Linked DNA regions of Cricetulus griseus. The protein of the gene in region 5 interacts with the protein of the main gene of each other region in a biochemical or structural test. Links are inferred from orthologs where the notes say so. Each region holds a gene or a part of one and is shown on either strand. Other genes may lie near its edges.

Region 1 (4,261 bases), on a different chromosome or scaffold from region 5:
GATGGGTGTAGGAGCACTAAGTCATCCTTAATTGTCCCAGATGAAATACTAATTCCCTTCATATAAGATTACTACTTTGAAATGGTGACAGCTGATGAACTGGTTTTTTTCTTTTTTCCTATTCAATACCAATGTATGATAGAAGATTGTTGATCCAATAATCAATCAACTAAAAGGGGAGTCAGCAAATTCTTTCTGGAAAGAACAGTAACCATTTTGTGCTTTGAGGCCATCCGTTGTCCACAGGAATTATGGGATTATTTTATCGCACCAGGAAAAGAGCCACAGAGAGGTGGTATTGAGAGGTCCTCTGGATAACCTTTTGGGTGAATGATCTTCTTGAAGAACACCTAGAACTCAATTATTTGTCCTCTCACATTCTAGTTCATTATAGCAGAGGGTGAAATGTTGGATTCAAGAAGGGAAGTCAGCCCATAGGACAGCTTCCAAAGTCATGGATACCTACAGGCAGTGTTATAGTCTCCCAGAAATGATATAACGCTATACACATAGATTACAAAAAACTCCCCTTTGTATTGGTATCCAGATATTTTATTGGAGATTGGTCACTTAGATACAGCTGACAAATTACATGCCTGGACTTAGTGCCTTGGCCCTCTAGAAGTCAAGTTGATAGTGCATGCCCAAGACTATTTGTGGCCTACTGTTAGCAAAGACTGTCTGCTATGGTCCAGGGTTTTAGAGACAGCATAATGACTCCTGACAGGCAGACCACTGAAGAGCTAAGAGGTCCTTTCCCAAGAGTGACACAGCAGAGCCACATCTTTCCTTAGGTAATGCTAATCCATCCCTGAACACACTTTATGTGAGCAAATGAGAATGACCAGTTGGACCCATGGACTGTTGTTTTTAGGCCCCGGAACCCATGCACAAAAAGTATATTACTGTGAATCTCTCTGCCCTTATGGACTTATTCTGTGTTCTCAATTGCTCTGGTCTTTGCTATTACACTTTCTACCTCCACTTGAGGACATGCTAAAACTTGAGTACATTTCTTACCAGAAACGACTTAAACTGAAGAAAAGTTCTATTGTTCATTCCTTTTGGCTTCTTTATTATAGCAACTCACACTAGACTTAGTTTGATTTCCTGGTGGATTGCAGGTAACAATGAGGAAGCTAGGGACTGTGCAAAGAGTTCACACAAATTTCAAGTGATCTTATCTTGTACCTAACAGCCTTGTTAGCACAACAGACACTGGTTGGTGGCATAAAATAGAAATAGTACAGTTATGAAAGGAAGGTGATAACTGCTGAATACATTTTGCCAAACTCTCATTACGGAGTAATAATATGGAGCAACTATCAGGGTCATTTCCACTATCCAATCCCCAGGGTTTACAAAACTGTGTTCATGTAGTCATACAAAGCCTGGGTTGTGTTTATCTTTCATGGATTTTGTGCAAAAAAAAAAACTATAAAGCAGGAAATAGTTTAGATCACTTTCAACACAATCAAGTAATTTTGGTTGAACAGTTATTCTTTGGGGCTGGTATTTGTGGATTTTGTCTTAATGGGGCCTGAAGGAATGGCAAAAGGGCATAAAGTAGACTCAAATAGTACAACACTCCATCAAAAACCAACTTCATATATGGGAAGGTTTTTCTACCTTAGCAACCAACTATTGTGGTTTTGGAATAGATGATTATTTGCCGTGGCTGTCCTGTGCATTGTTAAGACACTTAGCAGCATCCCTACTCTCCACCTACCCAATACCAATGACATCCCCAAACCTGCTATGACAACCAAAGGATGTCTCCCAAAATATCCAAATGTTGCTATAGGACATCATTTTCCCCCATTGAGAAGCCCTTATGTACAGTACTTTGAGAACTTGACTAAAAATTATCTTGATGAGGGATCATTTACTACTTTCAAATCTGTGAACAAATGAAAGGCTGCAGAGACTAGCTGTGCCTTGCAGTACAGCCTTTATTTGTGTACTCAACACTTTTGACTATAAATGTTTAATCCTATAAAAGATTGCAGACATAGCATGCTCATTTCACCTTCCCCAGGGATGTAGAATAAACATATACTGTTGTGGTGGTGCTCTCTGTGTAAATGGCATTATAATAAATGTTTTGTAAGTATGAATGCATGTGATTCCTATATCAATTCCAAGGAATTACATGTAGGGAAACTGAGATACTTAGAGGTTAAATAACTACCCAGTGCTGCAGAGATTATAAGCGTGAGGACTGGAATTAGAGACTAGAATTTTCTCAGGAGCTTCACCCCTACCATGGTGTTCTATCAGAAGAGGAGACCAGGGTCAGCATACTATTTGGGGGCAGAACTGAAATGCTGGCTATTTCAGGCATCTCAGGCTCAATGCTGTTCATGCAGTGTGTGGGAAATAAATCAACCATGAACGATAAAGAGATGGGTTGACTCTGTTACAATAAAACATTATTTACAAAATGGGTCGTGGGCTAGATTTGGCACATAGGCCATACTTTACTAGTCCATGGAATAGAACACTTTGAGAGCTGGTTTGATTGTTTCTCACTTTAAAAAGAGGAGACTGAAACTAGCCCTCCATCTGTTTAAAAAAAAACTTTCTAATTTAGAACCTTGCACAGGGCTGCAGACATTGCTGAATGGTTAAGAGCATTGACTGTTCTTCCAGAGGACTTGGCTTTGATTCCTAGCACCCACATGGTAGCTCACAACTGTCTGTAACCCCAGTTCCAAGAATCTGATGCCCTCTTCTAGCATCCCTGGGCACCAAGCATGTAAGTGCTGCATATCACATATGCAGGCAAAACACCCATACATGTTAACATATTAACAAAAGGAACCTTATATGATCACCAAACTCCTCTTCCAGCTGTTTGCCTTACCTCTCATATTTGAACTCCATAAAAAGTAGAAACCAGAAAGGGCCAAGGAGAAGAAAGCCTCAATTCTGGGCTTTTTCACCCATAACACCATTAGATTTTAGTGCCAATTGACAGTATTCCATTACAGAATGTAAAGCCTAAATAGATGGCATACTTTCTGGCCCTGGTAGTCTGTAAAAAATAAAAGGGACTGTTGATTTTGATCTCTTCGTGTCACTGTTTGCTCTGTAAGGATGTCATCTTAACCCTGCAAGAGAAGCTGTCTATCAAAGGCATTGAACACTTCTCACTCATGCTGGAGCAGAGAACCGAAGGGGCCGGAACCAAGCTGCTGTTGCTTCATGAACAGGAGACACTCACTCAGGTCTGTAAAGTAACCCCAAGAATGATGCTGCTGGTGGAAGCAGAGCCGGTGATGTCTCAGAATGCCCTCTTCCAGTCCTCTCATTGGAGCTTCTCTATCTCCCAGGTCCTCCCTGAAGGAAGCACTTCCTTTCTAATGCATTTGACACCTCAATGAGATAACCCCCTTTTGCCAATCTGTCATAGACCTTCAGTTGCTCTTCCAGATTTGTCATTCAGAGGCCAGACAGATACTGGAATGTAGCTCTGCAGAGTGACATTTTATGTTACTGCAAATGGCATCTTTGCTTGTTTTGATCTCCAGTCTCCTCAAAATCATTAAAAACAAAATTATTCCTGAGAGTATGTAAATTAAATCAAAGTCATCTATGTTGTCTTCAGTTCTGGGTGCAGAGTTATGACTAATTTTGGAAACCTGCAATCACTACCCCAGTCCTGCCCACTATGTATATGTGATCTACCAGTGTGTCCCAATTGCTGGTTCCAAAGATGCCACCCCCATCTGTTCTCTGGGGAGACAAGCCGACTGCTTCCTGCTGCATTCAACATACCACCTTCACTTGTCTCAACTTTAACAAAGCTGAGCATCTTGCTTGAGTATCTCAGTATCCACAAAGTCCTCTTACATATGAAAGTTCAGTGAAAAGATAACTCTAGAAAGAGGGATCGAGAGGACATCATCATCTGAAGTAGAAACCTACCACCAAGGGAGTGGAAGGACAGGAAGCATTCTCATGCTAAAGTGTTTCTTGTTTGATGCATAATTCAATGTGAGTATTTGTGGAGGGGGGTTGGAGGGATAGCTCAGCAGTTAAGAACATGCACTATTCTACAGGACCCAAGTTCAATTCCCAAAACCTACATCAGGTGACTCACAACTGCCTAGAACTTCAGCTCCAGGAGATCTGACACCTCTGGCCTCTCTGGGCACCCATGCTCACCTGTACACATGTAATTAAAAATGAAAATAAATTTTAAACAAAAATCAAGACCTAGCACTGCACACATCAGTTACCTTGAATAGCACTATTC
Region 2 (4,261 bases), on a different chromosome or scaffold from region 5:
CTTTAGGTCTGAAGTTCCAGGAAATTCAAGAAAGATTTGGTGAGGAATTCTTTAAGATATGCTTTGATGAGAATGAGAGAGTCCTTCGAGCTGTGGGTGGCACATTGCAGGACTTCTTCAATGGCTTTGATGCATTGTTGGAACACATTAGAACTTCTTTTGGGAAACAGGCCACTCTGGAGTCACCATCTTTCCTATGCAAAGAGCTTCCTGAAGGTACTCTCATGCTGCATTACTTCCATCCTCACCATACTGTGGGGTTTGCAATGCTGGGAATGATTAAGGCTGCAGGAAAAAGAATCTATCATTTGAATGTGGAAGTGGAGCAAATTGAAAATGAAAAGTTGTGCTCTGATGGTTCAAACCCAAGCAATTGCAACTGTATTTCTTTCCTTATCAAAGAATGCGAAACTCTTCACATCCCAAAGAATATTCCACAAGGTACTTCCCAAGTTCCTGCAGATCTCAGAATTAGCATCAACACCTTCTGCAGAGCCTTCCCATTCCATTTGATGTTTGACCCCACCATGGCGGTTCTTCAGCTGGGGGAGGGCCTAAGGAAGCAACTTCGATGTGACACTCACAAAGTGTTGAAGTTTGAAGACTGCTTTGAGATAGTCTCTCCAAAGGTTAATGCCACATTTGAAAGGGTCTTGCTGCGACTCTCCACCCCATTTGTGATAAGAACCAAGCCTGAAGCTTCTTGTACTGAGAATAAAGACAAGGTAAGTAGCCATAGATTCCAGATAAATGATGGGATCTAGTAGAATAGGTAATTATTTCAATAAATTACATGCTGGCTGTAGTTGTAATTATTTAGACAAGAGAGCTTCAGAAGATTTCCCATCTCTGGATGCATGTAGAAAGATTTGGCTGTATTCCCAGTCCTTTTACATAGTGTCTGCCTCATTTGTTAATTTATTTCAGCACATAAAAGAAAGAAACTTATTAATACCAGCCACAGAAATTACAAAATGATAGGACTCAATAAAATTCTAACATTATAAACCCTTGAATGTTTCCATGGAAAAGTCAGTTAGAGAAATCTTTAAGTAAACAAAGAGAATAGCCTGCTGTATTTTATTAGGATCTCTTAAATTTCACAGTCTTGGAACACTCCATTTATGCCATGTGTGTGTGCCAAAAGAAAGAAAAAAATGTATTCTCCCAATGTTGGATATGGACTAATTAAATTTTAGTGTTCAAATTTTAGACTATTCCTCTGGATTCTAAATGTAAGGATTCAGGCACTGTGCTGGCCTGCCCCTGTCACCTGAAAAAAAATCACTCAGGCAGTACCCTAGCAAGCCCAGGGTTCCATGGTTATGTAGTGTGCAGGCAGGTGCAAATGATCCCTTTAAAAGAAAGACCCTAACCACTTGTGTTCTTACCCTCTGTTCCCCTGGGGCAGACAGGATTTCTCCTGTCTCCCTCTTCTCTTCTCTCTGTCTCTGTGTCTCTGTGTCTTTATATCTTTCCCATTTCCTTTCCTCTCCACTTTCTAATAAAATTTCTCACTTAACTTTGTCTGCCTGGAATGTTTGTTCCCCACCTCAGTAACCATTTCCACCATGAAATCCACCAAGTTCTCCCACATGCTTTATCATAACAGTAAGTGGTTTGAGAAGCTGCTGATTTTTAGAATGAACGAGGAGAAAAATGGCAGAAAGAAAACCTGAATAAATTAATAATCTAACTGAACAACTCATGAAATAAAAATGGAAGGAAAGGATGTGACTGCTCCTATGTATGGCAGAGGGGAAAGTTTATTATAGATATGTGGGAGAGTATAAGCAGAATAGGGATTTCTGGGGGAGCCCAGAGTGGACATGACCACAGTGAGATAAGCCTTGGGGGGGGACAAAGGGGAAGAGAGGGAGAAAGAGTGGGATCTGGTGCAGCAGTCATGAGGTCATAGGTCCAAAAGATGGCAGATAACCTAAATGTGTGGATTATATAGGGAAGACCTCTCAGGGAAGGGTAGCATAGCCCTTGGGCTGGGGAGTTCAGGGTAGAGGGCATGGTATGTGGGCCATACTATGTAACAGGTAGGGATTTGAGGGATGCTGGGAAAAGTCATGCCAAGTCCAGCTTTGATTTGTTAAATATGCACTTCAGCCATTTGTCCTGGATTTGAAACTTAACACCATCCATATTATGAAGTGTCTTCAATGATAAGTGAAAGAAGAATGGCTTCAGGGAACCATAACTGATGGTCTATTAAAGAGATTTATAATTGATTAATTTTATAATCTTGGACTTTTAATAGAAGAATTTTAAAAAGACATTTGAGAACAATGTACATCTATTTCAATTTGCTAAATCAAGTGATCTAGACAATTCACCAGTAAAAATTTTGACATGCAAATCCAATGATTTAAAATCACTTGAGGGCAGACTTGGGTTCCCACATAGCACATTTCAACGCTTAATTTTAAAACTTACTTTTATTATTTGTCCTACTTGATCATATAAAGGAATTTTATTAATATTTTAAGATGTGTGTTATATGTTTCATAATCTCTGTACATTCTGAAACTGTTTCAGAATGGGAGAAACTTGTAAAATGTATATTTTTGCTACATTGGTAGCACTTTTTATTTATTTTGTTGTGTCTTTGAGGTAGAGTTCTCTGTGTAGTTGTGGTAGTCCTGGAGCTTGCTCTTTAGATCAAGCTGGCCTCACAGGAACAGAGATCTGCTTGCCCTTGTTGCCTGGGTGCTAGGATTAAAGGAGGGCCACCACCCAGCTGTAGTTGCTTTTTAAACCTATAATTATTCTAGCTTTTACATTTAGAGAATACTGAAACTGTCAGTTTTGTTTTGTACAACTTCAATATTTGGCTTGAGATTTTGAAGCATTTTTGGCCTTAAAATAAAAGCCAGCCTTTTTAAAATTGCCTGAATGAGATATTATTACATATGTTAATTTCTTTATATACCCTACAGATTTAAGGGGAAAAAACCCTGCAATTTAAGGTTACTGCTCATCCTTCTCCCAAATTTCACTGGGACTGACTGGGTTTCTATTTAATTTGTGTACTAAGATAAGAAATAGACATAATGAGATGATGACTCAAATGTCAGGGCCCCCTGCCAATTCCAATAATAAGGAACTGTGCTCATTGAGAGGATGCAATTATCATTTAAACATGTTGGCGATGGTTTAAAAATAATGTGATGGTGGGATTTTTACTTCGAATGAGATAATAATCTGTTCAACCTTATATTTACATTCTTGCTCATTCACTCATATTTGCCCTAATGAGGAATTTGTGACACTACACTTGTCTCCAGTTGAAAATTCCTCAGTTAATGGCATCTTGAACCATGAATAACTTTTTGAATTAGTATGTCACCCAATACCCTGTATACTTTTTTTCAAATATGCTAAGAAGAAAGAAAATCAGACCTCAAAATTATGGGATTTTCTTAAGTTTGACCTTGATATGAAGTATTTCCTCATAAAAGCTATCCTTGATACATGACCCCATGTACCTGGAGCCTCTGTTTCTTTATTCATGTTTAATAAGAAACTACTCTTCACACTATGCACTAGATAGTATTGAACCATCAACTGCTATTAAAAAGATGAGGCCAACAGTTAATCTTATGCCAATGATGGTAAACCATTTTTAAATTTAACTAAAATGCTTTGGATAAACCATGGTCTTTATCATTTTACATTCTTAGTCACAGGCTAAGTGTATGGCTGAGTTTTAAGATGCACATGGGTGATTTGATGAGACACAGTATGGACTTGATCCTCCCATGTGCATTATGGAACCGTAAGGGTAGCAACATTCCTGTTTTCATCTTTTTTTTAAAGCACAACATCCTTTTAATTATTTTCTTTGCTTATCATAGGTTGATCATTAAAAATAGGTAACATGATACCTTAGTCAGTGTGCTATGCTTATGAAGAGACACCATGACCATTGAAACTCTTATAAAGGAAAATATTTGATCAGATCTGGCTTACAGTTTCAGAAGTTTAGGACATTTTTGTCATGGCAGGGAACCATGTTGACATGATAGCAGACATGGTATTGGAGAACTACCTGAGATTTCTATAACTAGTTCCACGGGGAACAAAAAGAACAAAAGCTACTGGGACTGGCCTGGGCCTTGAATCTCAAAGCCTATTCCCCAGTAACACACTTCCTGTAACAAGACAGCATTTACTCCAACAAGGCCATACCTCTTATTCCCTCTTAAGTACTGCCACTTCCTGATCCCTAAGCCTTCAGAGATATGAACCT
Region 3 (4,261 bases), on a different chromosome or scaffold from region 5:
AGGACAGCCATGGAGAAACCCAGTCTTGAAAAACCAAAATCAAAACAAAACACAAAAGCTATTTTTGAAAGAAACATTTCTATCATATAATATTAAAGTATACCAATACTGAATTTGAAAGAAATCTAGTCACTGACAAATACTGAAGGCTATTTGCTGTAGCTACTTAGAAAAAGGAGGCACAGGTCAAGTCTAAAGGTGGCATGGGCTGTTAGTCCAGACTAATGAAAAGCATGTTGTCTGTCTCTTCTCCCAGTTTCTCTTAATACAGAGCAATAGTAAGCCTTTGCCAAGCAAATCTTAATTTCTGACTTCTGTGCAGTACAGGTCATCTTCCTGCTCAGATTGTGTCCTTGGGACACCTATCTCCTTCTTACTCATTTCTGACATAGTTCCCTGTGTCTGTCATAGAACCCTGTGTCTCCTGCATCTCTAATAGACTCATACCCCTTGCTAAGACTGATTCAGAATGACTGAGCACAGAGAACACCCCCAGCAAAGTCTCTGCTAAGACACAGTGCTCTAACTTTTTGCAGGGCTGTAAACTAGGGCAGCTTCATGACTGTGGACAGGGAATCTGAGATGAAGGTCACTGTGTTTCATCCCTTTAGGAGGGCAGGTTAGAGGCAAACATTCTGAACACGGGAAGATTCAATGGCAACAAAGGCAGAAAGACATCTCACCTGAGCTGCCAGGGCTGCTTTGGAAGTGCTGTCCTTAGCTGCATATGTTGGATTCTCAAATACCACAGGCTGCTTCCCCACCTCCATGATGAAGTTTTCGTTCTGGTGGGGAGGAGACAGAGAGGTCACACCCACTGATACCAGACAGAAAGGTGTCTCCCTCATACCTGGATGCCTACCACACTTTCACAAAGTCACCCAAATAGGAGGTCTTAGAGAGGCTGGGGGAAAGATAGCAGCAGCAGAGACCCATTGTAGCAACCCACTGTTTCAGCTAATAAATAATGAGCCACGCCATTTGCCCTGGAAAACACAAATACTCTTTCCACAGCTGAATTCTCTATGGTTCTCTAACGTATGTAACCCACTGTGGTCAGAACAGTGGAGAAAAGGATGCGTGGTAGAAAAGGACAGGAAGGTAGGCAACCGGGGAATATTGTTCTTTCAGGCAGGTGTGGGGATGGAAGATTGGAGGTGGAGACAAAGCATTAGGAGTGGGTTTTCAGATTACAGAAAGGCCCTGCTGGGCCACAGCTGTGCTAGGCTCATCCCTGAGTGTGCCACCTGCTGCTCATAAGCGGCAGGCACGTCCCTATTCTACACAAGAGGCCAGAAGGACCAGAAAAGGTCAGCCCTTGACTATCTATAAATAAATACTTAGATGGTAGAGTCATAGTTTCCACCAACTCTATATGGCCTACAGAGGACAGACTGTGTTTCTTTATTTTAATATCCCCCAGGGTTAGTTTTGTTCCTTATAAGAAGGGTTTCTTCCATAAGTTACTGTAAAGGAAAACTTCAAATAGTCACATGGAAGACCCACTCACCATTGCCATTGATCTATCAATAACTGTCTCCGGGCCAAAAGGAGAAACACCAATGTCCATGCTAACATCAGCCCCTGATCTGAAAGTCACCCCATTTCCATTTTCAGAGGGTTTCGCAAGGCTGCTTAAACTGGAATGAACCAAAACAATGTTGTGTTAGTCGGGTGGTGGTGGCACATGCCTTTAATCCCAGTGCTTAGGAGGCAGGGGCAGGTGGATCTCTATGAGACCAGCCTGGTCTACAAGAGCTACTTCCAGGACAGCCTCCAAAGCCACAGAGAAAGCCTGTCTCAAAAAAAACAAACGAACAAAAGATATGTTGTGTACACATGTCAAAAACACAGCAGCGCTGGGCTGCTGTTTTTAATCCCAGCACTCGGGAGGCAGAGACAGGCAGATCTCTGTGAATTCGAGGCCAGCCTTTCTACAGAGAAAGAGCCAGGACAGGCTCCAAAGCTACACAGAGAAACCCTGTCTCGAAAAACCAAAAAACACTGCAGCAAGCCCAACCCTCACCACCACCCCCACCCCCGTCTACCTGAACACACAAAAGCACAATCCCAGATACAACATCAGAACAAGAAACAGAGGTCACTTGTAGAAAGCCAAGCCAACACACAGAAACTGACCTTGGCAGCTTGGGCAGAGTGGGTAAAAGGGTGCCAGTTTTTCTGTAGTGAAAAAATCCAAGGAGTATCAGAGCCCCAATGATGATGATGATCAGGAATGTCAACAGCACAGCCATTGCTGCACAGGGGACAGAAACAGAGAGTCAACATCACCACATGACCAGGAGGGCTAGAGCGGCTAGAGCCCATGAGCCTGGGGCAAAAGGAAGATGGAGGGCCGTGACTATTGCAGGTCACCCATATTCTGGACACTTACTTGTCCCTGGAGGGATGCCTCTTGAGAGCCCAACCTCACAGTATTCTCCGTTGTAGCCACTAGAACACCTAGAAGCAAGAGGAGACTACTTAGTCACCTTCTAGAGGCTCCTAGTGCTGTGGCCAGTGAAATGCATGAGGAACAGGCGATGCAGCCGGCATCACAGCTGCTTCTCCTGCCAGCCTAAAAGCACTGCTCTGTCCGATTCCAGAAATTCACTTATGGTGGAGTGGCATCTATGAGGGTCAGCCTCACAAATAAGGCTTCTTTGCACTTCTTCCTTAGAGAGAATTGATAGGCACGGTGGCAGCATTCCATCCTCCAACAGCTTTCGGGAAAGCGACCATTCCTCTTGTTCTGTGGTGAAGGTTTCCCACAGGCTAGTCTGCTTGTCATAAGCCTTGTATTGAAGCATCTATCTCTCCTGTCAGTTGCCCTTCCGTGCTCCTTCCTAAGCCATCATCCCAGGTGAGGTGGGAGGTGGCATAGGGAGACACACTGCTATCCTTTCTTTCACTCCTTGCCCTTCCTTGTGACTCTGCCATTCCATTCAAATGCACATAGGCATTTGAGCCAGATCCTCAGCCAAGGCTTATGCCAGGTACGGTTTGGGAAACATGGCCTCACCTTCTGCAGACTCCCCCAAAGGAGGACAAGCTGGTTAGACATGGAAACGGAAACGGTGAATTGGGCAAGCTTCCTGCACTTGTTTCCCCAGCTATAAAGAGCTCGGGTTCCCTAGAAGAGCCAAGGCCTACAACTGGGACCTCAAGAGTCAGACTTACTTGCATTTGGGGAGGTCATTCTCATCAAAATAGCAATTTCCTCCGTGCATGCATCTGCATGGGGGAGGCATGATGACGGGAAGTTCGATGGCTGCAGAAAGGAAGAGCCATGCATGGGTTAGTCAGCCACAGGCAAGCAGAGCACTACACCATGCAAAACCTGCCCAGGACTGAGGCGGGAGGGGTAAAGGGGATGTCGGGCCTCCCTGCTGAGTTATCACCTGTTCCCAAAGGCAAATGAACTTCCTAAACAATGGTGAGATCCTGGGGAGTGATAGATAGAAACTTCAGAGTACTTTCTTCCTCTAAGCAGTGAGGTTAAACCCAGAGTATATATTGTGTCACCCGAAATCCCCCAGATTCTCTTCTGGGAACCATTAGAACCAAGAGTTTCATTTAGACACAGCTTGAAACTGCAACCCAGGACTCCAGATCATCAGCAGAGGACCAGGCAAGTGGCAGACACACAGACACAGATAGATGGGAAAGCAGCTGAGGGAAATCTAGCCACTGGATTACTGCACCTGATTCACCCCCGGCATACCACCTGGATGATTTCTTTACCACATGTGTGCTTTATTTGATGAGTTTGTCTACTGTCTCTACTCAGAGTTCCTTTCATCAGAGAGGCTAGGCAAGCCAATCATGCCCGCCCTGTGCCTACTGCATGTACTTTAGCCACCTGTCCTATTACATACTTACAGGGTTCCTGGCTTATTATCCTACTAGCAAGTAAGCTCAATGAGAGAAGGGATTTGCCTGTTTTACTCACTTCTCTCATCTCTGGAACTTTCAGTCACACCTGGTACAGAGTCGACACCCAATAAATGCCATTGAACTAACTGATATGTTCATTAACAATAGGTCACATCAAGACCCTGTATATGCAACATCTGTTAATAGTCGTTAACAGGCTTACTTTGGATAAAGCTCTTTTAAATGACAATCTCAGAGTGTTTGTGTTTTCCTGCATGTATTGTCTGTGCACCACATGGCTGTAGCACCCTCAGAGGCCAGAAGAAATTGTCAGGTCCCCTGGGACTGTTGTCACAGGAGGTTGTGAGTCATTGTGTGGGAGCCC
Region 4 (4,197 bases), about 33 Mb from region 5:
TGACGTCCCTATAGCTACATAAATGGAGTCTCACCCCAAGTTACCTCTGTAATGCCAGCCCCTCTTAAGACATGAGGCTTTGTGCAGTCAGGGCAGAATTATATACAGCTAGCCTAGAGGCATAGGAGGCAATGGCTGGAATCTCAGGCAACCCCTCTCTCCCTACTTCCCCTTTCTATGAGGGAATGTCAACAGTTGGTTCCATCCTGAGGGTCTCTTACAAATAGTCAAAACTGCGTGGATGAGGGTGATGGCCTCTGGGAGGCCTTCTCTTCACAGAGTTTACTCCAATTTCATTTTCCACAGCAGAGGGTACAATCCACTTTACAGAAAGGACATCCCACGGCAGAGGATACCATCACCTTTGCAGATAGATAGGACCACATCCCACGACAGAGGGTACCAACCCCTTTGCAGTAGTTAGGCCAACATCCCACAGTGGAGGATACCATGCACTTTGCAGGTAGATAGGACCATGGCAGAGGGCACCATCCTCTTTGCTGATAAGATCACTGAGGCAGTGAAGCAGAGTCTGCTGGCTTGGGTTTCTTGGAAGCTGGGGTGCCCTTTTCTGGCCACTGGCATTGATCCTGCTGTGGCCAGGCATTGCCCTATGATCAAGCACTGTGCCACTTAATGGATCCTGCTGACCCCTCCCTTCCTTTTCCTTCTGGGCCTTCTAGGTGCTGGTTTGGCAAACGTCCTGGAGTGTACACTGACTACATCTACCAGGGCCCCATGATCCTGGTCCTGCTGGTAAGAGCCTGGGGAGGTAACAGGAGACGAGCCACCGTGGAGAGGGACAGTCTGCCTGCCATGAATAATCTACCTAGGTGTCCCCAGAGACAGCTCTGCTGGGAGTTTGTGGGTGTTGCTGAGAGTGGGAAGGAGGAAGAAAGAATGGGAGAGGGAGAGAGAAGTGAGGGAGGGGTGAGCGAGCGTAGCAGGAACACCAAGAGCAGAGCTGAGAGGACTGAGGGCCTGTCCTGTCCACCCCACCCACCTCCATTTCCTGCATCCATCCCTGACACGTGTGCCCATCCCTGGTACCCATCCCCACCCCTGCCAATCGTCCTCACTCCTGCTGGTGTGCTCCAATTGCAGATCAACTTTATCTTTCTCTTCAACATTGTCCGCATCCTCATGACCAAACTCCGGGCATCCACCACGTCTGAGACTATTCAGTACAGGTACCTGGCTCCCGATGGCTACTTCAGAGGGTCCAGCCTCCTCTGAACCAGATCTCTTCCAAGCCAGTCGGTCAACCCCGAAACAGCCGCTCCACCTTCCCAGACATCCCTGAAACCATCTCCCAAACCCATCACTCTCCCCAGAGCTAGCAGCCCCACCCCTCCTGGGTAGCCTGTGACTCTGGCCTTTCTCCTACCTTAGGAAGGCTGTGAAAGCCACTCTGGTGCTGCTGCCCCTCCTGGGCATCACCTACATGTTATTCTTTGTCAACCCTGGAGAGGATGAGGTCTCCAGGGTCGTCTTCATCTACTTCAACTCTTTTCTGGAGTCCTTTCAGGTACTACCATCTTCCTGAGCCTTGCCAGTCCAGCTCAGGATGGGGAGGTGGGGCATGGACTATATTTGTGCCTGCATGGGTGAGGATCCTTCTGACAGAGGCCTGGAGGATTGTGGGCTGGGGCAACCTGGGCTGGTAGGACCCCATTCCCCTCTGACTCCCCTCTGACTCCCCTCTTCCCTTCAGGGCTTCTTCGTGTCTGTGTTCTACTGTTTTCTGAACAGTGAGGTAAGGACCTAAGGCCATGGCTGAGCCTACCAAGATTGGGAACTGTCCCCTCATGTCTCTTCTGCCCTAGGGTGGCTTCCGTCCCTCTTCCCAGGTCCCCATGGGTTGCTGCAGGGAACTTTGAGAAGTCCCTGTCCCTGCTGATCTGCACCTGTGAGGACAGCTCCCCCTCTGACTTTAGGCATGTCAGGGGTGGGCATGCTGGCTGGTAGATAGGGTCTCAGTGAGGGAGGAGTCAGGCAAGGTAGAGATTCTGTGTGGCAAAGGCCAGGTGGTACATTTGTTAGACTAGAAAAAGGTGTTCCTTTCTCACAAAAAAAAAAAAAAAAAAAAAAAAAAACTGGCTTAACAAATAGCAAACCAATAGTAGTAATTACGTGCGTGTCACCACCTACTGTAGATCCTGTTGCTACACCTGGTAGCTGGGGGCAGTGCCCTAAGCCTGAGCTCTGATGCGTTACCTTGTGCCCACAGGTCCGCTCTGCTATCCGGAAGAGGTGGCATCGGTGGCAGGACAAGCACTCGATCAGAGCCCGGGTGGCCCGTGCCATGTCCATCCCCACCTCACCCACCAGAGTCAGCTTCCACAGCATCAAACAGTCCACAGCAGTGTGAGCTACAGACCTCAGAGCAGTCCCCGGACCTGGAGCTGGGGAAATGACACAAGCTCACAGGCGAGCCTATCTGCAGAGGCAATCGGCCATCCCATTCCTACCCCTGGGCTGCAGACCTGAGAGCTCATAGCACTGGACTGGGCCCACGGCATCTGGCTTCCTGCTGCCTATTCTTCTTGGAGAGGGGAAATGGAGATTGGGGGTTAGAAATCCTGCAGCGGTTTAATGGGCCCTGTGAGAGCTGTCTTCTCCCAGAGAAGTACACTGAAGATCTTAGTCTCCAGCAGTTGTAGAGAGGCCACTTGCTACCCCGGGGCATCATGGGAAACTCTTCTTCTGTGATTGTGAAGCCTCCAAGTCTTTGGATGCTACTGAGAATCAGTGTCACGTTGTCCGGTCCGGAGACCTGGAGATAGCGTTAGAAATCTCATGACATCATCAGACAGCACTCCACCGCCCTAGAAGCCACTCCTGAGCCACCAGAATGTCATCAGCACCGTGGCACAGCCACTGGAAAGCCCTGCCTTGCTGCCTTGCACCCTTGGTCATTTACTATTCTGCAGGCCAAGCCAGCTTTCTGTCACTTAACACACTGACAGCAACAGTACTCTCACCGTGAAATCCTATCACCTCCTGCCTCTGGGTGTCTTCTGATTTGTGAGAAGATGGGGGTTGGAAGGGGACTGAGTTGCCTGTGAGGGAGAATCGGAGTGAACCCAGCTTTTGAGGAAATAGTAGCACTTAGGTGCCCAGGCCACTGGCTTCATTGGCTGGCCTCTGGAACATGCTCACAGGCTGAGTGAAGCAAGAAGGGTCCTCTGTTCAAGTGCCCTGAATTGGGGCAGGTGGTTCCTGGGACAACTGACAGACCCCTTACTCCCCGGCATGGAATGGCCCAGCCCTCACTGTGTCAGAGGGCTGAGGAGCCATAGCAGGATTGAAGTGGGGGGGGGTTGATATAAATAATATTTATCTTTTCAATTACTTTTGTGAAGGCTTGCACTCTGCTGGGGCTGGGAGTAAGCCTGAGGGGAGCTCCCCGAGAAGTAGCCAGCAGGGACTACTGCATGGCAGGAAGCCTGGTCTCACTCGTGCCATCCAGTATGAGCCCAGGGGCTGGAGGCAGGGTATGAACTCCAGACATGAAGATATGGGTGTGATCAAAGATGCTGAGTAAGAAACAGCTCTTGGTAAGGCGGTGAGACCTGGAGAGAAGGGTCATAGGTTACCATGGCCGGGACAGCCAGACAAGAACTGTAACAATGAGGCCAGGCAGAAGCGGGCTCCAGTTCCATGGAAGAGAGTCAGGCAGCAGTTAGGAAGCTGAGCAGCCAGTGGAGCTGGAGGCTTCCCAGAAGCACTCATGGAGATGTGGTTGCCAGGGCATCTCAAGGCAGGACCAGAGGTGGGTCCTCAAGCAGGGAGAGAAAGGGAAAGGTCAGACGGCATGCAAGCACCAGGGCAGGCAGCTGGAACTTTGGTTTGCTGAGGATCCTGGAGCACGAGGCGAGGGAGCGGAGTTGGGACACTTATCCACCAACTCCTGTCATCCATTGTTCACTGATTTGATCTGCTCACAAGGGACATCAGTTTCCCTTTATTGGCCACATCCATGTGGTCACAGATTTGTCAGATGCAGCATACTGCAGCCCTCTGGAAGCCAGCATGTGCCTTGTAAGCACAGAGGAGCCTGGTTGAATTCCTGTGAGGGTCCCGGTGCCACCTGGGACATGCCTATGGGTCTCTGGTCAGGGAGGAAGGTTGCCTATGAATGCACACACACGTGCACACAGTTGCATACAAGGGTGTGTAGCATGAGATGCCAGG
Region 5 (4,261 bases):
AGGGCCGGTAGGGCAAGAGCTATGGGGGAAAAGATTGGGGGTGGCCTGGCATCTGGGGCTTGGGCTCCTGGGGGGGGGCGTATGCTTCTTGATTGGCAATGGGGGGAGGGGACACGTCGCTGGAAACACTTGGGTCTCACAGAAGAGGAATAGGCCAGGAAAGTGGGAGTGGGCACAGAACCTAAAGCCAGAATGTATGTGCCTTTTTGTGTGTTTGGTGTGTTGAGATGGATGAAGGATCCCCAAGAGGTGCTCTCAGTGCCAGGGCCCTCTTCATCCCTTCGCACCCCCAGCCTCCGCTTCAGTTTTCTGTGTCCATAGCTCTGTTCCAAGTGCTTGGTGCCCTCATTTGCTCCTGTCCCTTTCCCCACCTCCTCCCCCAACCTCTGCCTCTGGGCCTGGCTCTGCCTGTTCCCGAGTCTCCAGCTCTTTCCATCTGGCTGGACTGAGACTTCAAATCTTGGTCCTTTCTGCCTCTTCCTGTGCCCCAGCCTTTGCTCCTCTCCCGTGCCCCTCCCTCCTGCTGGCTGGCTGGCTGGTTCTTGATGCTGTCTCTCTCTTCCTCCCACGCATGCATCTCCTTCCCCCTCTCGCTGATCCCCAGCTCAGGCCTCTGTGTGTGGCCTGATCAACCCTCTCCTGGTTTGAGCAGTCGGTCCTCTCTCTCTCTCTCTCTCTGCCCTCCAGCTGCCCATTTCTTTCCCGTTTCACTCTTCCCTGATCATATCTGTCTTTTTTCCTCCTCTTGGTCTCACCTGCACCCATTCCTTCTTCAGCCATTCCCTGTCCTCGTTATATATATGGCCACCTGTTCCCCTTCCCCTCCTCCTTTGTGCTCACAGTCAGCTTTTATTTATTTATTTATTTTTCTCCAGGCCTGAGAGGCCTTGTTTCTGAGACCTTTCATTTCCCAGCCCCCTTTCTCTTAATTGCCTCTTATAGGGGGACACGCTGTAGGATTGAGGAGAACACAGAGGGGCCAGAAATATGGGATGTTTTAGGAAGGGGACCCCAGTTGCTGATATTTTACTTAGAAGATGGGAGAAGGTTTGTGAACCAGGGATGAGGCAGGAAAGTGGCTGTAGCAGTCTCTGAGGCTAAAAGTGGCAAAGGGAGGAATAGAGAAAAGCAGGAAGGCAGGGGTCTTAAGGCATGGGGGTAAGACGGAAATTGGGGCTCAATAAGCTGCTTGGTGGGAGGAAAATGAAGCACTGGAAACGGGCACAGTGCAGAATATTTGTGTGTGTGTGTGACTTGAGGGGGTGAAGGAAGGTTCTAGGTGCCTTTTGCAAGATGAGGCCTTTATGTCTGGGGTGGGGAGGAGACCGGTGCTGAGGGTAGTAGCGGTACAATGCAAAGGCTCAGGGAGTGGCTAGGAGAGGCGGTAAGTGAAGGTGGGAAGTCTCAGGACAGGGCTTCGGCCAAGGGACAGGAGATGCTCCAATATCCAGAGTTGGGGAGTGGGTTGGGAAGTGGAGGGTGTTATTTGGAGCTAGGACCTTAAGGGGTTGCAGATGAGGTAAAGGGGGATAATGAGGTGCCCTCTCTCTTCAGAGAGGTGACAGGCGAGGATAGGAAAGAGAAGGGATAGAGCTCAAGTCTGCTATGGGGACAGGGAAGTGGGTGGAGAATGGTAACTGGGGTTGGAATATTTTGGCAAACTTAGGGAGGGTGTGGGATGACAGTAGAGATAAAGAATCGTTAGGGACTGGGTGCGGGGAGAGGTTGTAGTCTAAGGGTGGGTCTGAGGATGTGTGCTACGATCGGCTAGACAACAGCGTTCGCTTGGGGCCGGGGGTGGTGGTGGTGGTGGTGGAGATGACAGTTGATTCACGGGTATGAAATCTATTAAGGGGCCTGAAATGGTTCAGAGTTTCTGGATTTGAGAAATAGCAGTAAGGGAGAAGAGGGACCTTTATAGGAGAGGGAGAACTTAGGAAGGGAATGGGAATCCTCGTACTTGATCGGTTTCAAGTATTTGTCTAAGGAGGAAATAGATTGGGGACCCCCGGAAGGAGTCTCTTGGCAGCCTCACCTCATTGCTATAGAGACGGTGGCTTCGGTTGCCCTGGCAATTGGGGAAGCCCCTAGGACAAGTCTAAAGCTGTCCCCGCCCTGCAGTTTAGCTAGAGACCCGGCTGCAAAGTAGAGGCCACTGACGTCAGGGACCAGGGCACGCCTCGCTTTAACCCTTTCCTTAATGAAGTGGGGGCAGTAGAACAGGCTAGGTTCTGGATGCCTTTTACCATTTCTCCTTCCTGACGTTCTCTGCACTGCGTAGGGTGAGGGGCTCAAAGGAGAGAGGAAGGCAGGTTATTCAGGATGCGCTGCGCCCACGCCCAGGAATAGAATCGTTCTGGCCTCTTGGCCCGGCTAACGGTGGGCGGGTCCAAAGCCGGAGAGGACTCATCCAGTCTTTTGCTCTAGGGAGTCTGTCGTACCCTAGGCCACGCCCCCCACCCGTTGTCCTGACTACCAGGCCTCCTGGAGGTGGGTCTCCCCAGGTCTTGGCTGGTCTTAGATACCGTTGCTAGGCAACCTGGTCCCTGGAGGAAGGGGTGGATTGGATGGCGGGTGGGTGAGAGAGAGGGAGGGACCAGAAGCTGGGGAAACCCCGGATTCTCATGGCGCAAGATTTAGAGCAAATGTGTGCCAAGGTGAGGGACAAATTTGGGGGAGGGTTATCAAGATATCTGGGTTGATTGTTAGGATATAGAGACAGGAAGGGGACCCCAAAGAGGAGAGCAGGACCTAGTGGACCTGAACCCTGGGGTGTAACGCGTAGCACGTAATGCATGTAGCACCCTGTAGTGTTACATCCGGTGAGAAGCAACCCCCCCAGCATGCTCCCCCTTTCCCCATTCTTTACCATCTGCTGCTCCCCTCTCCGTCTGGCTGTCTCTCTCTTCCCTCTTCTCATACACCTCTTTAAACATACAGGGGCCTGGGTTGGGCAGAGTTGTGTGTGCATGCGTGCATATGGTGTCTGTGTGTGTGTGTGTGTGTGTGTGTGTGTGTGTGTGTATGTACACGAGTGAGTGCATGCATGTGTGTGTAATGTAGACAGGCTGGGTCCTTTAGAGTTGCCCTAAGGTGTGGCTTGACTATACAGCTAAAAGGAGATCCAGATTGGTTGGACCCACTTTTGGTTATGGACTTCCCCTGGAGTTAAGGCTTAGGTAGCTTTTTGTCTTCTGTCTCCTCTCAGGCCAATTCTCCCCCTGTGATTGTCAACACGGATACCCTAGAAGCCCCAGGATATGTGAGTAGTTTAGATTTTGGATCTGGGGCCATAGCAGAAGGGTAGGAGAGAGGAAGGGAATGAGTCCCTGAATGGGGATGGAGGGGCATGTTCTCTGGCCAGAATGTCTGTCTCACTGTTTTTGTGTTTCTGTCCCGTGCTGGAGTTGCAGGTGAACGGGACAGAGGGGGAGATGGAATACGAGGAGATCACATTGGAAAGGGTGAGAACTAACCCCTCCATTCAAAGTCCCTTGGCTCTGGGCTGGTGTTTCTAGGGTCCAGACCCTTAACTGTGTCCCTGTGTATTCTAGCTGCTCCTTTCTAATCCTGTCCCCTTCTTGCATCCCTTAATAGAATTAGGCAGTAAGGGATGTTGACCCTCTTATCCTCCTTCTTCCCAGGGTAACTCAGGTCTGGGCTTCAGCATCGCAGGTGGTACTGACAACCCGCACATTGGTGACGACCCATCCATTTTCATCACCAAGATCATTCCTGGTGGGGCTGCAGCCCAGGATGGCCGCCTCAGGTTGGGAGAGAAGACAGGGCTTAGAAAGCTAGTACTTGCTGGGAGTTGGTGTCCCATGCTTTTAATCTCAGCACTTGGGGGGCAGAGGCGGGTGGATCTCTGTGAGTTCGAGGCCAGCCTGGTCTACAGAGGGAGTTCCAGAACAGCCAGGAGAATTACTGTCTCAAAAAGAAAGAAAGAAAGAAAGAAAGAAAGAAAGAAAGAAAGAAAGAAAGGAAGAAAGCTAGTACCTGGAAAGGGAGGGCTGGGCAGTAGGAAACTCCTGGCTTAGACCTGTATTATTGTTCCCAGGGTCAATGACAGCATCCTTTTTGTGAATGAAGTGGATGTTCGGGAGGTGACCCATTCAGCTGCGGTAGAGGCCCTCAAAGAAGCAGGTTCCATCGTTCGTCTCTATGTCATGCGCCGGAAACCCCCAGCTGAGAAGGTCATGGAGATCAAGCTCATCAAAGGGCCTAAAGGTAGTGGTAACCCCATGTTAGCTCCCCTCCC
Region 6 (4,207 bases), on a different chromosome or scaffold from region 5:
ACAGACACTTGGCACCACCTTCTCGCAGTAACATTGCGTGGATGAAACACGGGGATCCTTAACTGCAGCGCTCTAACCAAACTCTGTACCCTTCAGAGTGCGGGTAGCGTGGAGGTAGGGGGTGCGGGGTAGTAGGGTGGGCGGGACAGAGGGGCCCCTGGAGGAGGGGAGGGATGGCGCCGAGAAGCGGGATGCCGGAGGATTGCTTGTGTGACTGCATCTGAAGCAGACTGGTCCAAGGAGTTCTGCCAGCGACATCGCCGCCTGCATTGCGTCGGACCTGACCATCTCCAATGTGAAATTCCCGGGGAAGGTCGCGCGCTCAGCTAAGGGCTGTGCGTGGGCGGGGCTGCGGGCCACCGAGGAAGAGGAGTTGGTGGTGGGCTTTTCGAGGAGGAGAGGAGGGAAAAAGAAGAAAAGCTATGCTGGCAAGGATGGGAACTGAATGACAACCCCCCTCTGCCAAACCACCCCCTCATATTTTCCATCTACCTCCTCGCTCCTGCCCTCCCCCGCCCTCCCCAACCCACGCCCTGGTGGGCCAATCGCTGCTCCGCATTCCAGGCGCTTTCTCAGGTTTCTGCTGATCTTGCAGCGCCCAGAAATGGACCGAGCGGACCTGCGGCCGCATGCTCCCTACTCCACTCCGATCTGCTGAAGGCTCCCGGCGCGCTGCAGAGCGAGGTCCGTGCGGTGGTGCGGAGACCCGATAGCCATGTAGAGCCAGGCTTTGGGCCGCCTGCCTCTCTCGGGATCGAATCAAGGGCTCCTGTAGTGTTCAGAGGGGGCGAGAGTGCTGCTTATCGCCATTTGCTTGGGTGACTCGGGAGAGGGTGGCCTTTTTGCTTTTCCATCCCGCATCCTCCGGAACTCTCTGCAGCGGAGAGAGGACCGAGCCCCCAGGTTGCCTGCACCATGTGAGGATGGGGGCAGGGAACGGACATTTCCTCCATAGCTGCTCAGTAAAACGATCGGACCCCTGAGAGGAGAAGGACGCGGACCACGAGGGGCCCAGTGCCTCTCGGATGCTGCTGTGGAGGTGGCTCGCTCCGACTGCTGCAAAGGAGACCTGCCGCATTCCGACTCTCCGCCGCCGACTCAGCACCGCCCCTGCGCCAAGCCGGCCCGCCAGGTAGGGAGCTCCACAGTTCCGGGGCTGCAGAATCCGAGGTTAGGATGACAGGGTGGGGGAGGTTGAGGGTGAGAAGTTGCTGCCCAGGACCCGGAGCTCCCCCAGCATCTCTAAGCGCTTTTCCGATCTCCAGTTTTTAACGAAGTTGTAAACGAATCGGCTGCTGGGCAGGGGGGGAAAGTGGGATGGAAGATTTCCAAACTTGGATTTCTGGGTGTCTGTTGTGTGTCTGTCTGTGCGTGTGTGTTAACCCCAGTAAAAGTCCGGTGTGTTCTACAAAAGCTAGTCGTCTGTGCTCTTCGGTGTCTATAGGTTCGTCCCATAGGAATGCTTCTGATTTTCTACCCTGGTATCACTTTTTATTTCTCTGCAGCGTCCATCGATCGCCCCGTGGGAGCTTAGAAGGCGGCAGGCGAAGAGGGGTAGGGGGGGAGAGCCAAGGAGCAGCAAAGGGGGTGACAGGCGTGGGGATCTGCTGAGTTGGCACTGCACCGGGTCCTAGGAAGGCTGCAGGAGGGGAGGGGTGCATTGGCGAGCCCCGGAGAGATGGCAGGTGTGCGTTAAGGCAGTCAGAGCAGGAAGAAAAAAACCCACCAACCCCAAAAACAGAGCACACCCCCAAAACCCAAACCTCTCGAAAAAGCCTCACTGGGGGCCCTCAGGCGAGAGGGCTTTCCAAATTGGGTAAAAGGCAGAGTGGAGGAGGGGGAGGTGGTAACTAGCAAAGTTGCAGACCTCTGAACCTTCTGGCCCCGAAGCCCCTCCCCGTGAGCGTGGGGGAGACTCACTCTCCGGTGGGGGGGCCGGTTGGGTCCCCCCCACCCCTCTTCCTTCGCTCCTTCACACCCCGGGCTCTCTCCTGGCCTCCCACCCCTGCACTCTGCTTCCATCATGACGGTGATGTCGGGGGAGAATGCGGACGAGGCTTCGGCCGCTCCGGGTCACCCCCAGGATGGCAGCTACCCACGGCAGGCGGACCACGACGACCACGAATGCTGCGAACGCGTGGTGATCAACATCTCCGGGCTACGCTTCGAGACGCAGCTCAAGACCCTGGCACAGTTCCCCAACACGCTGCTGGGCAACCCAAAGAAACGCATGCGCTACTTCGACCCCCTAAGGAACGAGTACTTCTTTGACCGCAACCGGCCCAGCTTTGATGCCATCCTTTATTATTACCAGTCAGGGGGCCGCCTGCGCAGGCCGGTCAACGTGCCCCTGGACATGTTCTCCGAGGAGATCAAATTTTACGAGTTGGGCGAGGAGGCCATGGAGAAGTTCCGGGAAGATGAGGGCTTCATCAAGGAAGAGGAGCGCCCCCTACCTGAGAAGGAGTACCAGCGCCAGGTGTGGCTGCTCTTTGAGTATCCGGAGAGCTCAGGGCCTGCCAGGGTTATCGCCATTGTATCGGTCATGGTCATCCTCATCTCCATAGTCATCTTTTGCCTGGAGACTCTCCCTGAGCTGAAGGATGACAAGGACTTCACGGGCACCATCCACCGCATCGACAACACCACAGTCATCTATACTTCCAACATCTTCACAGACCCCTTCTTCATTGTGGAGACCTTATGTATCATCTGGTTCTCTTTCGAGCTGGTGGTGCGCTTCTTTGCCTGCCCCAGCAAGACGGACTTCTTTAAGAACATCATGAACTTCATTGACATCGTGGCCATCATTCCTTATTTCATTACCCTGGGCACGGAGATAGCTGAGCAGGAGGGGAATCAGAAAGGCGAGCAGGCCACTTCCCTGGCCATCCTCAGGGTCATCCGCTTGGTAAGGGTGTTCAGAATCTTCAAACTCTCTCGCCACTCTAAGGGCCTCCAGATCCTGGGCCAGACCCTCAAAGCTAGCATGAGGGAGTTAGGGCTGCTCATCTTTTTCCTCTTCATTGGGGTCATCCTGTTTTCTAGTGCAGTGTACTTTGCCGAGGCGGAAGAAGCTGAGTCGCACTTTTCCAGTATCCCCGATGCTTTCTGGTGGGCGGTGGTGTCCATGACCACTGTGGGATACGGTGACATGTACCCTGTGACAATTGGAGGCAAGATCGTGGGCTCCTTGTGTGCCATCGCTGGTGTGCTGACAATTGCCCTGCCCGTACCTGTCATTGTGTCCAATTTCAACTATTTCTACCACCGAGAAACTGAGGGGGAAGAGCAGGCTCAGTTGCTCCACGTTAGCTCTCCTAACTTAGCCTCTGACAGTGACCTCAGCCGCCGCAGCTCCTCTACTATCAGCAAATCTGAGTACATGGAAATCGAAGAGGATATGAACAATAGCATAGCCCATTACAGACAGGCCAATATCAGAACTGGTAACTGCACCACAGCTGACCAAAACTGCGTTAATAAGAGCAAGCTCCTGACCGATGTTTAAAAAGCAACAGGCAAGCAAGCAAAAAGCCCCAAACAAAAGCCCTGGTGACTCATGTCCCGCTCTGTAGATACTTCACTAAACATTAGTCTTTGAATGCTTTATTTAACTGTCAATGCATTGTTGCATTGTGAATCTGGGGAGTGGCAAACCTGAGGCTTTCAAGATCCATTAAAAAAAACCCCTATTTTCATTTTATTAAAAATGAGAAAAGAAAGTATTTTCTAAAACTGGCTTCAGTGCTGTCCATTAAGGAGTCCATGTGAAATAAGACTCATGTTTCCCTGTACTGAAATATTTCCAATCTTTTGCCATAGGCTTTTTTTTTTTTAAAAAAAGAACACCTAAAAATCAGATGACCACTTAGGAATATAAGTTCAAATTTGCATGGGACTCCACCCTCAAATTTTTGCACACTGCACACCACATTTCAGATAGTGTACTCTGTGGAACACGTAACAGCCTCAGTGGTCAGTGAACAAATGCTTTTCTTTTGATCAACTGAATTGCATATAAGGCAACCAAAATCAGACTAATTAAGACTGGTTCCCAAAGCACCTTATACATCTGTTATTGGTCCCAGTCTGTTGGGATTTTCCATCTGCCCCATTCTCCTAAATACAGTCTATTCTCTAAGAAAAGGGTAACTTGATTAAACAAGTTGATTCATCTGTAGGGCTGCTAAGTTCTCTCAACTGC
Region 7 (5,032 bases), on a different chromosome or scaffold from region 5:
ATGTAGGAGAATCCTACTTACTCAGCCTAGCCAGCCAGCAGGGAGAAAGGTAAGCAGAAGAAGGGGCTCCCCACGTGCCTGTCCCTCACTTTTAAACCTTCCTCACATCACCCTGACCATGCCCAAGTGGGTGTGGCCAGGCACACCTGTAACCAGCCCCAAGCAGGCTTTGCCACACAGTTTTTCAGTTTCATGAGGTCCCCTTTATTAATTGTTGATTGTAGTGTCTGTGCTGCCAATGTTCTGTTCACAGAGTTTTTTCCTGTACTGTTGAGCTCAAGACTATTCCTTACTTTCTCTTCTATCAGGCTCAGTATATGTGAATTTTGTGCAGGGTGATAAAAGTGTGGACCCTGTTTGGATCTGTAGCCATCCAGTTTGACCGGCACCATTCATTAAAGATGTTGTCTTTTCCCCCATTATATTTATGACTTCTTCATCCAAAATAAGGTATCCATAAGTGTGTGGATTTATGTCTGCATCTTCAGTTTGATTCCATTAATCAACATGTATACTTTTATGCCAATACCATATTGTTTATTTTACTATAGCTCTGTAGTACAGTTTGAGGAGGTTGAGAATAATGACACCTGCAGTAGTTGTTTTATTATTCAGGATTGTTTTAGCTATTCTGGTGTGTGTGTGTGTGTGTGTGTGTGTGTGTGTGTGTGTGTGTGTGTGTTTCCATATAAAGCAAAAATTGCCCTATCAAGATTTTTGAATTGTGTTGAAATTTTGATTATGATTGCACTGAATCTGCAGATTGGTTTTGGCAAGATGGATATTTTTACTGTATTAATCCTACTGATTGGTGAGAATGGGAGATCTTCCCATCTTCAATTTTTTTCTTCAGTGTTTTAAAGCTCTTATCACACAAGTCTTCCACTTGTCTGGTTAGAGTTATGCCAAGATATTTTATATTATTTGAGATGATTGTGAAAGGTGTTGTTTCCCTGATTTCTTTCTCAGTCCATCTGTCACTTGTATATAGGAAGGCAGGGTCCCAGGGATTGCTGGCTCAAGTTGGAGGTTGAGCTAACAGGAGTAGTGTGTGTGTGTGTGTGTGTGTGTGTGTGTGTGTGTGTGTGTGTGTGTGTGTGTGTGTGTGTAGGTAGGTAGGAGGAGAAGAACTGCATGATGGGAATGAAGAAGCCAGAGAGGCTGAATCAGGAGGTGAAATACAGAACGGGGGATGAAACTGGGAATTTCTCATTCAAGCAGTCCAGGAGGCAAAGGAGAATCAGGCTGAAAGTTGGGAAAAAAGCCAGGTGGATTGAGAAATATGGTGACAGAGTTTCCACAGTTAACTGTTCAAGCAAGAGTAACACATTACAGGAGCAATGAGACCAGTGGCGGCCTTCACAGAGACTTTTTAGCAGAGTGAGTAAGGCCTTTGCCAGAGTGCACGGGAAAGCCAGAGGGTAGTGAAAGTGCTTTATCTAAAGCTGTCGGCAGGGCTGAGTGTGAAAAGCGGAGTTGATGGGCTTGTCATGGAAACAGAAACCCTTTCGGAAATAAAAGCCACTTAACTCCCCCCCTCCCCCCCCCCCCCCCGCCCATCACATCTGATTAAAAGAAAAAAGAAAGAAAGGAAGGAAGGAAGGAAGGAAGGAAGGAAGGAAGGAAGGAAGAAAGGTAAGAAGAAAAGAAAAGAAATCCCAACAACAAAAACATCAAGAGTCATTAGAGGACGATAATTCCAGGGTGACTTGGTACGATGGTCACTAGCTGGAAATTCTCTGCCTTCCAAAGAAGGAAGCCAGCATTCATTCCCACGATCCTGCCACCAAGCTGAGGACCTGCTGACCCAAGTTCCTTCTTTTCTTGCTATTGGCTAACACTGTTCATAAAACAGAGTTGGCCGTTTCACTCTTGCTTTAAATGAACAAGCTGCATCGTATGGGGAGACAGCCAGGAGAGAGGGCAGAGTCGGAAGGCAGGGCAAGCGGGAGGAGGCCGGGCGCAGAAGGAAGCACACAGGTGGGTTGTACCGTTTGTTCATTTGTCACTCAGAATTGTGCTTTGATGGCTCCTACAGGAATGACGTGTGGAATGTAAGCTTAATTTGTTCAACTATCAGTTCTACCACATATGTTTTTTTGTTTTTGTTTTTGGCTTGTGCATATGATTTTAGCTTCCTTTCATAGCTGCATCTGTAAAATACAAACACGTTTATGTTCACTCCTTCCAGTAAACCTTGTGCCTTATCCATGCTGCCATGAATTCTGCAGAGCCACAATTGCGATTGCTATATAAGGCATTGATATTTTCCCTCCTTTGGTCATTTTATCCCATAAGGCTTTTTTTTTTTTCTACTCAAAAGTCTTGCTTTTGGAAGAGGATTGTATTTGAGAAGGTAGATTTCAGTGGTTTTGTTCAGAGGTGCAGTGAACATGAACACGTGTGCTGGAATCGGTTTGTTTTGGAGCACCCATCTTGGTTTTTCAGCTGGGGCTGCACCTCAGTCAGAATTGCCTGCATCTCAGCAGATTAGAGAACAATGCCTCAAACAGCTTAAACCTGGTTTCCTGGTATTAACCAGTCTTTAATGGGTTTTGTTTGCTATTACTTCTCAGTTGTTATTAATAAATGGTCTGTTCTTAAAGAAATGGTTGTTTGAAAAACCTTCTTGTCGATACCACATACCTGAGAGTAATAATGGTGGGGAAATGAGATGCAATTAAAGGCAAGTCTCTCTTTTACTATGTAAGTAATCTAACTTAGAGAGCTAATTTGTGGGGCATATAAGAACTTTAGAAATTTCCGTTGTCTACTTCAACTCCTGAGATTAGAACCTATTTGAAAGCTTCAATTAATTAATGTTTGAAGGAAGTAGATTTGTTTCTATGGCTTGGGAAGGTAGTTGTGGGAGAAGTTGAGGATTTAGAAGGCTCTAAATATGTTAACATTAAGCCCGGTGGGCACTAGTACCTGCCAAGGTAGCCCAACTTCCTTTCTTTGTATAACTTTTCAAAGTCAGTCAAGAGATGGACATTTAATATCTGGCCATTTACAAGCACACCGAAGATACAGCAGGTGGCCAAGACTGATCTAATGGTTCACCCTGCTTTCCAAAAGAAATTATTTTCATTGGACCCCAATGTCCCCCTAAGAATAAAACAGACTGACTTCATATCAAAAGACTGGACAGATAACGGCACCTAAATCAGGCTGAAGCAGTTCTGCCTGTGCTATGAGCTTCCCACAGGCATATACTTGACCTTAATTTGATCAATAGCGTGTCAAACAAATATCTTCTTGTTTTCATCCCATGGAGGAGAGTGTCTGTTTAGCATCTTTGATAAGCACAAGCATTTATGTAGCACTTTACCATATAGAAACATGTTTTCATATGTCTGTTCATTTGACCTGTGGAACAATCTTTATCTATAGAGAGGGTATTTCTCATTTTTGAGATGGCAGAAATGAAGCCCTGGGATTGTAGGATATTTCCCAAGTTAGAACCAAACTGATGAGTCTAGAATATATGGCTACATCCATACAACCCCAATAATAACTATTTTATGAAATTGATTAAATGAATTTTGTTACATCTGTATATTATTATATAGTTAAATGATGGCATTGGCACTATATCACTTAGAAAAAAAAGAGATGACCATGTCTCAGTGGCAAGAAAAAGCAGGATACAAAATAGCATTATAACATGCTCTCTCTCTTTTTTTCAAAATCCTTATCTGTATTTAGAAAAAGAGAAAAAGAAGTGTATGTACAGAATTTTAGACTTGTCTAACTGATAAAACTTGTCATTTCCACAACTCAGCTTAATATCTTTTTGCCACCTTAATTTAATATAGCAATGCAACAAAAACAAAAGTAAACTAAACAGAATTGAATAGAATTGACTGTGTCTGTCTGGTTCACACTCCCGATAAAGTGGCCCCAACTCTTTTTTCCAATTGACTAGAAAGAAGCCTTGTATTCGGTTCTGAGTTTTGCCTATGATTGTTACATGTTGTGTTGTAGTTGTGGCTAATGTGGACAACACACTTGGTATGTCAGGCACAGAGCTGATTGGGCTGCTCTCATCCTCTTCGTTTACTCTCACTCCCTCAGCAGATGAAGGTTTTAAAGTTTAGAGGGGTGAAATGACAGAAAAGCAGAGTTGAGACTTGAAAAATTGAGACTCTATCTACCTGGCACCTGAGAGGACCTCCTCCCTCCACAGGATGGGACTCATTACTCTGGGTCAGCATCAGCTCAGGAATTGTTAATACCCATTACCTTGTGTATTCCAGACCCCAGGATCTGGCCTGCTTTTCTTGTTTGTCCTGAACAGAAGGCATTAAAGACATGCTGGTCCCCAAGAGCAAGCTTATAGAGGAAAAGACTCATAAGGGATAATGCAGCTACCCAGAACTTTGGCTAATGTATCAGCTTGCCTAGGATGCAGGAAGCCTGGGGTTTGATCCCCAGTGCCACATACACTGGGCTTTGGTGGTACATGCTGGTCATCTCACACTGTGGGGGAGGGGCAATCAGGGGTACTAGGTCACATTTGACAACTTGAAACACTGTCTCAAAACTGATAGATAAATGGGTTGGGAGCCTACTAGAGGAAGAGCAAGAAGGAGGAGAGAGACAAGGGACAGGGAAGGGGAGGCTGCCCATTTTGGCAACGAAAATATTAATTAAACAGAGAAAATGTAAAAGCTTAATCCATCGTTAATTCTCTTCTTGATATTATTTATTTCTTGAAAAAAAATAAAAAAGTCTCTTTCCCACATAAAATCTTCTTAAATGATCCTGCAGAGACTGCCCTAACCTCTCCTTTACCTTGTTTGAGAAAGCAGATTCTTTCCGGTAAGCTCACTTCTTGCCTTGACAGGAACTCTGCTGCTAGGCAGATTCTAAGATTTGGAAATGGCTTACCTTGTTAATTTGATCTCTGTCAGGGATCTGGTTGGCACAGGATCAGAAAGATAATTTGCTGTCCTGGGTGTGTAACAGCATCATCTCCTCCAATTGGGCCCTACCCCAGTGTCCTGGACCTTAGATTCTTTCTTCCCCT

What was found.
Region 1: the proteins of Dlg4 (region 5) and Frmpd4 interact in a biophysical measurement, tested with the Homo sapiens proteins (2 studies listed by IntAct, with this or other methods). The link is inferred for Cricetulus griseus from reciprocal best matches to the Homo sapiens genes DLG4 and FRMPD4.
Region 2: the proteins of Dlg4 (region 5) and Gucy1a2 interact in a test that uses a peptide from one of them, tested with the Homo sapiens proteins (2 studies listed by IntAct, with this or other methods). The link is inferred for Cricetulus griseus from reciprocal best matches to the Homo sapiens genes DLG4 and GUCY1A2.
Region 3: the proteins of Dlg4 (region 5) and Lrp2 form a complex in vitro, tested with the Homo sapiens proteins (2 studies listed by BioGRID and IntAct, with this or other methods). The link is inferred for Cricetulus griseus from reciprocal best matches to the Homo sapiens genes DLG4 and LRP2.
Region 4: the proteins of Dlg4 (region 5) and corticotropin-releasing factor receptor 1 form a complex in vitro, tested with the Homo sapiens proteins (2 studies listed by BioGRID and IntAct, with this or other methods). The link is inferred for Cricetulus griseus from reciprocal best matches to the Homo sapiens genes DLG4 and CRHR1.
Region 6: the proteins of Dlg4 (region 5) and Kcna1 form a complex in vitro, tested with the Homo sapiens proteins (3 studies listed by BioGRID and IntAct, with this or other methods). The link is inferred for Cricetulus griseus from reciprocal best matches to the Homo sapiens genes DLG4 and KCNA1.
Region 7: the proteins of Dlg4 (region 5) and Cysltr2 interact in a biophysical measurement, tested with the Homo sapiens proteins (2 studies listed by IntAct, with this or other methods). The link is inferred for Cricetulus griseus from reciprocal best matches to the Homo sapiens genes DLG4 and CYSLTR2.

Annotation. Positions count from the first base shown.
Region 1 is NC_048604.1:102,254,620-102,258,880, reverse strand, and holds part of Frmpd4 (FERM and PDZ domain-containing protein 4), read left to right. Parts: intron 1-3,098; coding exon 3,099-3,230; intron 3,231-4,261. UniProt on the Homo sapiens protein: Positive regulator of dendritic spine morphogenesis and density. Required for the maintenance of excitatory synaptic transmission. Binds phosphatidylinositol 4,5-bisphosphate.
Region 2 is NC_048597.1:118,403,233-118,407,493, forward strand, and holds part of Gucy1a2 (guanylate cyclase soluble subunit alpha-2), read left to right. Parts: intron 1-6; coding exon 7-725; intron 726-4,261. UniProt on the Homo sapiens protein: Has guanylyl cyclase on binding to the beta-1 subunit. Isoform 2 acts as a negative regulator of guanylyl cyclase activity as it forms non-functional heterodimers with the beta subunits.
Region 3 is NC_048599.1:105,763,709-105,767,969, reverse strand, and holds part of Lrp2 (low-density lipoprotein receptor-related protein 2), read right to left. Parts: intron 3,272-4,261; coding exon 3,181-3,271; intron 2,464-3,180; coding exon 2,396-2,463; intron 2,258-2,395; coding exon 2,140-2,257; intron 1,641-2,139; coding exon 1,511-1,640; intron 786-1,510; coding exon 684-785; intron 1-683. UniProt on the Homo sapiens protein: Multiligand endocytic receptor. Acts together with CUBN to mediate endocytosis of high-density lipoproteins. Mediates receptor-mediated uptake of polybasic drugs such as aprotinin, aminoglycosides and polymyxin B.
Region 4 is NC_048600.1:117,208,514-117,212,710, forward strand, and holds the end of corticotropin-releasing factor receptor 1, read left to right. Parts: intron 1-683; coding exon 684-756; intron 757-1,104; coding exon 1,105-1,190; intron 1,191-1,392; coding exon 1,393-1,528; intron 1,529-1,714; coding exon 1,715-1,756; intron 1,757-2,230; coding exon 2,231-2,371; 3' UTR 2,372-3,248; downstream 3,249-4,197.
Region 5 is NC_048600.1:83,875,090-83,879,350, forward strand, and holds part of Dlg4 (disks large homolog 4), read left to right. Parts: intron 1-3,208; coding exon 3,209-3,262; intron 3,263-3,404; coding exon 3,405-3,464; intron 3,465-3,644; coding exon 3,645-3,769; intron 3,770-4,060; coding exon 4,061-4,230; intron 4,231-4,261. UniProt on the Homo sapiens protein: Postsynaptic scaffolding protein that plays a critical role in synaptogenesis and synaptic plasticity by providing a platform for the postsynaptic clustering of crucial synaptic proteins.
Region 6 is NC_048601.1:19,841,990-19,846,196, forward strand, and holds Kcna1 (potassium voltage-gated channel subfamily A member 1), read left to right. Parts: upstream 1-2,023; coding exon 2,024-3,511; downstream 3,512-4,207. UniProt on the Homo sapiens protein: Voltage-gated potassium channel that mediates transmembrane potassium transport in excitable membranes, primarily in the brain and the central nervous system, but also in the kidney.
Region 7 is NW_023276807.1:227,541,167-227,546,198, reverse strand, and holds the start of Cysltr2 (cysteinyl leukotriene receptor 2), read left to right. Parts: upstream 1-1,611; 5' UTR 1,612-1,980; intron 1,981-4,893; exon of another isoform or gene 4,894-5,032. UniProt on the Homo sapiens protein: Receptor for cysteinyl leukotrienes. The response is mediated via a G-protein that activates a phosphatidylinositol-calcium second messenger system.